Ovis aries: one gene and its partner. The protein of the gene in region 2 purifies or fractionates together with the protein of the main gene of each other region. This does not show direct contact. Links are inferred from orthologs where the notes say so. Each region holds a gene or a part of one and is shown on either strand. Other genes may lie near its edges. The genes, in order: CEP170 and CCDC68.

The links.
Region 1: the proteins of CCDC68 (region 2) and CEP170 purify together in Homo sapiens (co-immunoprecipitation; 3 studies listed by BioGRID and IntAct, counting the BioPlex papers as one, with this or other methods). This does not show direct contact. The link is inferred for Ovis aries from reciprocal best matches to the Homo sapiens genes CCDC68 and CEP170.

Annotation. Positions count from the first base shown.
Region 1 is NC_056065.1:33,284,305-33,288,130, reverse strand, and holds part of CEP170 (centrosomal protein of 170 kDa), read right to left. Parts: intron 3,639-3,826; coding exon 3,587-3,638; intron 1,703-3,586; coding exon 1,413-1,702; 3' UTR 1,091-1,412; coding exon of another isoform or gene 1,080-1,090; 3' UTR 1-1,079.
Region 2 is NC_056076.1:54,630,690-54,634,515, forward strand, and holds part of CCDC68 (coiled-coil domain-containing protein 68), read right to left. Parts: intron 2,174-3,826; coding exon 2,068-2,173; coding exon of another isoform or gene 1,886-2,067; exon of another isoform or gene 785-1,885; coding exon 701-784; intron 1-700. UniProt on the Homo sapiens protein: Centriolar protein required for centriole subdistal appendage assembly and microtubule anchoring in interphase cells. Together with CCDC120, cooperate with subdistal appendage components ODF2, NIN and CEP170 for hierarchical subdistal appendage assembly.

The DNA of each region.
Region 1 (3,826 bases), on a different chromosome or scaffold from region 2:
ATATTAAAGACTATTTCATGAAACTTGCAAAAGTTGCAGCTTTAACCTTTATAAACTGATGGATCAAGGGTTTCAAAAATCCAGTCTACTAATAATATTTAATTGAATTAAGAATTACCCAAAATTATAGTGTTCTGGAAACATAAAGATAATTACTTTCTTTTTAAACTTATCCAAATGTGAACTTACTGAAAAGAGAAAAAACAAGTTAATAGAAGATACTTTTCGTAAGCTTCCTGTTTAGCATAGGCCCAAAGCCTTGGTCGTTATCTTGTAGGGTCCTTATAAATGTATACGACTGAGACAGGATTTACTATTGGGTCCTACAGGGAAACACACAGAAGCAATTCATTGCTTGGGAGTGAAACTATCTACTAATCTTATGACTACTGGTTCTCCAAGTTTCCTAATGCCCCAAATTTTAATCTCATGATCATTTCAAGGGAAAAATTTTTTCAACTGTCACATACAAACTTGGTAACACAGGACCTGTATACATGTTCTTAGTTTTAAAAATAGACTCCACCTATAACCTATCTGTCTAGTTTAATCCTTCTACTTATCATTTGCCCTAAAATGAGACAAAATCTTACTTTCACTAAAAAAAAAAAAAAAAAAAAAGGGAAAAAAGTGCCAAATTGATCTTTTTGAAAGTGGAGTAAAACACTGTGGGGTTAAAACAAATACAATTATCAATCTCCTATATACAAAAACCGATGGTTAGTCCTTATTGATATATAGATATGTCCACCTACCACTCCCAGCAAATCTTAGTGCAAACATAATAGTTCATTTCCATAAACCCTAAGACAATTTACGCAGCAACAAAGTTATATAAATCACATATATGTTGGAAAATTTTAGAACACAAGAAGGACTGTTCTGAAAGGTCAGTTTGACTGTGGAGAGCAATGTCATTGTATCCAATGGTAATGAATACTAATATAAATCCTATTATTAAGAAGCAAATATAAGTGTTTAACAAATCTGTACAGACGAACAGCAAGTCCATTTCAGGGAGCAGCTTGGCACAGGAGACATGGGGGTCAGAAAGGTTGGGTTTTTAGTTTGCTTGTAGGTCACAGCATGGCTTAAAGAAAAAAAAAAACAAAGATCTATGAAGGGAAAGGATGCAATTATCTAATTCAATTTGAAAATCATAAAAACCACAAAATGTGAAAGTTTCACAATCTAGATTTTCCTCTATGTGCATCAAATGGTCATCTCAATGGTTCGAAAGGATTACTATGGCTCCATGTTATAGATAAAAAATAAATAAATAAAATTAAGAAGACAGAGATAACAAGATTGCAGTTGACCAAGCTGTCTTATTTTCTCTAAAAGTCAACACTACGCTGTTTCCAATAATTCTAGTCATTCCACAGGTAAATATTTTAACAAGCAAGAGAAAGTCATTCCTGTACTGTAACGTCCTCCTCTTCCCCATCGGGGTTGAACCTATTGAAATGTATACTGAAATCAGCCTCAGACTCGGCATTCTCAAATTCAGCTGAGACCGCACCAGCAGCAGGATGAAGAACCCTAGCTTCTGGTTGGCAAAGTGCCGGTGTCTGACCCGGGCTGCTGTGGTCATTCACAGGACTGGACTTCTGTTTTGGTGGAGATGGCAAGATAGCACTGGGAAATCCCATGTTGTTCAGAGCCTCCAAAGTTCCATCCGGGTCAATCATAGCATTGATAGCTGAAAGAAAGGAAAGGAATAGAGGGAAAAAGACATAACTACAGATGCAGCTAAATTTGGATATGAATATTGCTTATGATTTGGATAATATTTCAATTACTAATGCTTATATGAGCTTTAATTTGGTTAATCCTTCCAATTCTGGATTTAAAACCCCACTTTCAGTAATTCTGGGGCTCATCTATATCATAGATTATAAAAACCTCAAAGCTTTCTATGGTCCCTTGAGTAGGCTACTTACAGGCATCTGAACCTGCTGGAAGATAAGGATTTGGAGATGTGGCATTCAGGAAAGGTCTCTTTGAAATATGCTTTAATCATTACAAGAGGATGATGAAAATACCGGTTAGGACTGAAAGAAATTACTCCTGGCTTTATTACTCAGATTGGAGAAGGCGATGGCACCCCACTCCAGTATTCTTGCCTGGAGAATCCCATGGACGGAGGAGCCTGGTAGGCTGCAGTCCATGGGGTCGTGAAGAGTCAGACACGACTGAGCGACTTCACTTTCACTTTTCACTTTCATGCAATGGAGAAGGAAATGGCAACCCACTCCAGTGTTCTTGCCTGGAGAATCCCAGGGACAGGGGAGCCTAGTGGGCTGCCGTCTATGGGGTCGCACAGAGTCGGACACGACTGAAGCAACTTAGCAGTAGCAGTTATTACTCAGATAATTGGGATTAGTTGCTAAGATGGGGTTCAGAGTAACATGAAAGTTGAGGAGGCAAATAGCAAGCACACTCTGAAGCTATCATAGCATGTTGTCATTCATCCTGGTGAGGATGCTAGGGTATCTGCCATGCACAAGTATATATTTGTGGACCACTGAGCCATAAAAATCCTTCACAGTCTAGATATTCATATTCTATGGCAACCCCAGCAGGCCAAATAGACCTTGCATTCTCCATGGCAAGGGCCAGATAAAGACCAGCTTTCAATCCAAAAGATCCTTGAGTGGACAAGGGAAAGTCTTCAGCAGTGATTTTCAACGTGGTATTGGGTAGAGTGGAGAGTTGAGGAAAAGAAGCCTCACAGACAGAAGAATTATTTAAGAGGTCCTTTTAAAAGCATACTCCCTCCTGCCAGCTAACAATCATGTAAACAAGCCACTTTGCCTCATGGGGGTATACGCTTCGGTGTGCTGAGGCTAAGATTCAGAACCCCTGAGCCAGGACCAACACATCATGCCTATGATAATTCAAATACTGAGTAAAATTAGCAACCGACTCTGGAATCTGCCTGTTTTACCACTGGGGACTTCTAGGTCAAAACACACATAGGCATAAGTGCATAATTAAAGGTCTGACACAACCAAAAACAATGTCCCTGTTAAAGTTTAGGAGGCCAACAGTCTCTTTTTCTTCCCTACTCCCTCTTCTGGTCCCTGTGTCCAATGTGCACTCATTTCTTGTACATCCAAATGATTATTATGACTTATAAAATCGTTATTAGTTCATATGGGTTGTACCACAAATATAATTTAAGAATTATCAAATCAAGTAAACAAAGCTAATTGTCAAAAAGAATTTTCAGTGGCATATACATATTTTAATATATTATTTTACATATTTTTCATATACTATAATTTATGAATATATATAAATAATAGATACTATATTGTATAGAGATACAATATAATCTATATTGTATCTATTATATAGAAACAAATAATAGATACTATATAATACTACGAATTATATTTTTAATTATTTATGCTTTCTTTTTATGAGTAATTTGAATATGTAGAACTTTATATCTTTATTCATACATCACTACACTTAACCAAATAGTGTTCAAATAATTAACAGTATTTTAGAAATATCACTTAGGATGTACTTGTTCTAAAATTGGTAGCTTTTTATACTTAATCAGTAGTAAATTCACCTTGTAGCTGCTTTTCAACTCTTTTTAGCTCTTGTAAGATAGAAGAAATCTCCTGTAGGGAAAGCAATGACAAGAATTAGCTTACTTTAATTAAAACATTTTCATTTGATAAGCAACGAACCTTATACTAATTTTATTTGATATCCTTAATATTACTGACATGGCTCCAATCTGTAGCAACAGGATATGAAATAATTATGATATTCAGTAAAAAGACTAGAATTTTAAAATCTTTAATAC
Region 2 (3,826 bases):
CACAAGAGGGCCCTTGACCAAGCTTCTAATTCAAGTCTACATGGAGAGAGAGTACCACTGATTTCCCCAAGAGAGAAAGGATTTCTGAAAATTTGAATGAACCTTTAACAATGACTTAATATTGATGTGTGTTCAATCACTCAGTCGTGTCCAACTCTGCAACCCCAGGGACTGTAGCTGGCCAGGCTCGTCTGTCCATGGGATTCTCCAGGCAAGAATACTGAAGTGGATTGCCATTTCCTTCTCCAGAGGATCTTCCCAACCTAGGGATTGAACCTGGGTCTCCTGCATTGCAGGCAGATTCCTTACCATCTGAGCCACCAGGAAAGCCCAAAGTATTGATAATAAATAATTATTAAGAGTACATCCCCAGCAAAGCTCTAATTCTTATGCATAGAAGATGAACACACATTCACAAAAAGACACTCATAGACAGACACAGACACCTGCATTCACACAAAGACACAGACAATCACAGTCACACAGACAATCACACAGTCACACACAATCACACAGACACACACATTCACATACAGACATACTTGGACATAGTGTCACACCGGTACACCATCACACAAGGAACTCACACACAGGCATGTCACATACACACAGAGGACACAGTCATAGACAGACTCACAGATACACTGAACATACACACACTCACTTTCACACTGAAATATACAATAGAGGCCCTCCTTACCTGGGCTTCCAGTATGTTAACTTTTTCTTGCAGATCTTCAATTCTCTTATCTTGTTCTTTTAAGTTATTTTTTAAGGCCTCTATCTAAGAATTGAGAAATAGAAATGAAAAAATCTTGCCAGACAATGAAGAATAGTTCCTTAAGTTAAAAATTGTGCCGGTTTCTGTGGTCAAATAATGTTTATCAAATAAACAAAATTAAATCCCGAGCATTAGCAGACTCAGCAGGCTACAGAAAATAGCAGGACAGATTGGCACCTGGGGACAAGAAAGCACACAGCTGGTGCGATTAAACATTTTAATCTTTAGAAAACCCGTTTAAGCCAAGCTCAGCAGGATGCATCCTGTAGGAAGCAACCCGGGTCCTTGTCTGTGACTCGGTCCCATAATGCTTTCCTCCTGCAGAAGCAGAGGCCAGTGGACATGGCGGAAAGCCACAGCCTGGCACAGGGCGACTCCCTGCAGCAGAGATCTGGTCAACCAGACGCATGTAAGGTGAGCCCACTTTGCTCTGGAAGAACATCTGCTAAGAGGCAACGTGGGGATGATGGGGAGGTGGGGTGATGAATTCCAGGATGATGCCGTGAGAGAGGAAGCATGTGGATTCCAAGGCCACTTCTGCCATTTAACTACTGTGGACCTCAGCCTTCCCATCTATAAAATAGGATGCCCCCTCCATCCTCCCTGGCTCTCAAATTGCCACGACTCAACTCTCTGGCCTTTTGGTGAGATCTAGCCAACCAAGTACAAATGCTGCAATTGTATTAGAAAGTCATTTGCGTTATTTGGAAGGACTCCATTTAGAAACAAATATTATATAGCAAACAAAAATGAAGGTCTGGTTTTCAGTCTAAAGCAGATCAATATAAATATTGACATAAATTGACTGTGCAATTCACCATCCATCTGCCTGCCATCACAATGACCTCTTTCACTTGCTGAGATGTTTCCAGTGAAGAAGGGCCAGAACACATCCCTGTGCTACCCCCTATGTAAATTAACCGTTTTTCATGAAATAATGAAAACAGATCATTTCTTCCCTAAGAAGGCTGAATCTCTTAATCTAAAAAATCTTCTAAAGAGCAGTGTACATTACCTGGCTCAGAACACTGTAAAAAAAAAAAAAAAAATCACTGAAACCTCTAAAGAGTAAATATAATTTCCCAAATATGTTCACTGAGAACATCACAGGTGTGGGCAAAGGGACAAAAGAGGACACTGAAAAGAGAGCCATGTCTCATGGGAATAAAAAGGAAATGTCAGTGGGGAGAAGGATCTCAGTTGCAGAGTCCAGACAAGGCGCGTGTATTTGGTCTTCTCACTGTAAACATACCATCTGCCAGAGAAACACACTTGATTAACCTGACCTCCTGGATGACACTGCGCAGGTTCTGATGCTGGGAGTGAATCACAAACTGCAGATGTGAGATCTGCTCCTGGAGGAGGGAAATCTCCTTTTGAAGATCCTGGCAACTAGAAATGCAAAGGAAAAAGGAAAGATTTGCTAATGCATTATACCGCTATTTTTACAGCTGTGCCACCTAGCTCTCCTCCTACACTACTCTCCTACTGGGCAACGTGCGTGTAGGATGCCTTACGCCAAACAAGACACATGAAGACAAACAGCCACGAAGCAGCCTCTGATTAGCTCAGACATGAACTTGAATGTGAAGATCAGTTCCTGTCAAAAGCTCCTCTGGGGCCACCTGTGACTTCCCTCCTTCCAGCAGGTAGCTGAGTCAAGTTGGACTGAGCCAGATGAAGCACTTATGTAACTGATCTGTCTCACCTGTGAGAGCACCCGTAGGCCTAGCAGCCATAACAGACAGATAATTACTGGGATAGTAGGATTAGAACACAGGGCCAGGAATTTTCATATATATCAGAAACCAGTTTTCAGGGATACAGGGTTTAATATATGTAGCGAATTGCCTGTGTTTGCCTTTTAGGGCAGGAGGAGGAGTTACTTGTTTTTGTTAGTTTAACTACCTGTAAATAAGGCAAGAAAAAAAATTAAATTCTGGCTAATATTTTGAGTGCATATCAACCTTGGTGAAGAAAGATGAGTGAAGTTTGAATTTAGATTATTCATCCTTTCCCAAAGCTCCATTTAGGTAGCTGGTATTGATTATACAGCTTTGACTATTTCTCTTCTTTTCACTATTATGAGAGTTTGAGGCAAAACGCCTTGTGGCAAGACCACCAGACTTGGGAGCATTGTGACTTTGGAATCACACTATCTTTCTAAGCCTCAGTACAACAGATATAATAATCCTTAGCTTTACAGCACTACAAGACTGCATGGTACACTTTAAGAGGTAAAGTGAATGTACTTTTGGAAAATGAGTTTTTACAAAGTACTATTTTATTTTAGCGTATTATGGCTTTACAATTAGTAGCCAAGATCCAAGGCAATCGCAATTCTGACTTTTCATAGTCTGCAAATATCACAAAGGTCATGGAAATTCATGTGACACTACAGAACTTGTTCTTATTTTTAAAAAAGAGTTTCCATTGTTTTACATCCTGTGCTAAAGCATTGCTTCTCAAACTTAGTATGTATTGGAAGATCTTATTAAATTGTCAAGAATCTTATAGATGCATACTTTGACCCAACAAGCTGGAGTAGGGTCTGAGAGTCTGCAGTTCCAACATGCTCTAGGTGTTCCAATGATTTTGATGGTCCCTGAGCCAGCCTTTGAGTGCTCTGAGTAGGATAGTACTAAAAACTATGGTTCACCCAATAATGTTTAATATATAATAAAGTTGCTTAAAACCAAGTAGCTTTCATGCAACTTGCAATATTTAAGACAATCTTAATTTTCCCCTTGTTCAGTCTTGTTTAAAAGAGTTTTAAAAAGTTTGTTTTACTGTAGAAAAAATTGCTATAGAAAAAACTATAGTAATGTTTGCACAAGTACAAATGATGTATAAAGATAGCCATCATTATTTATCCTAAGGAATGAAATAATTTCTACTAAAAGTTCTGTACAATTACATACTATATATATGTCATAAAATACACATAAAATATAGTTTATTATTGTCCACAACTTTAAAAATGGAAACAATCTAAATGTTCATCTACAGAAGACTGATAAAACTAATTATGCTATAACCACACCA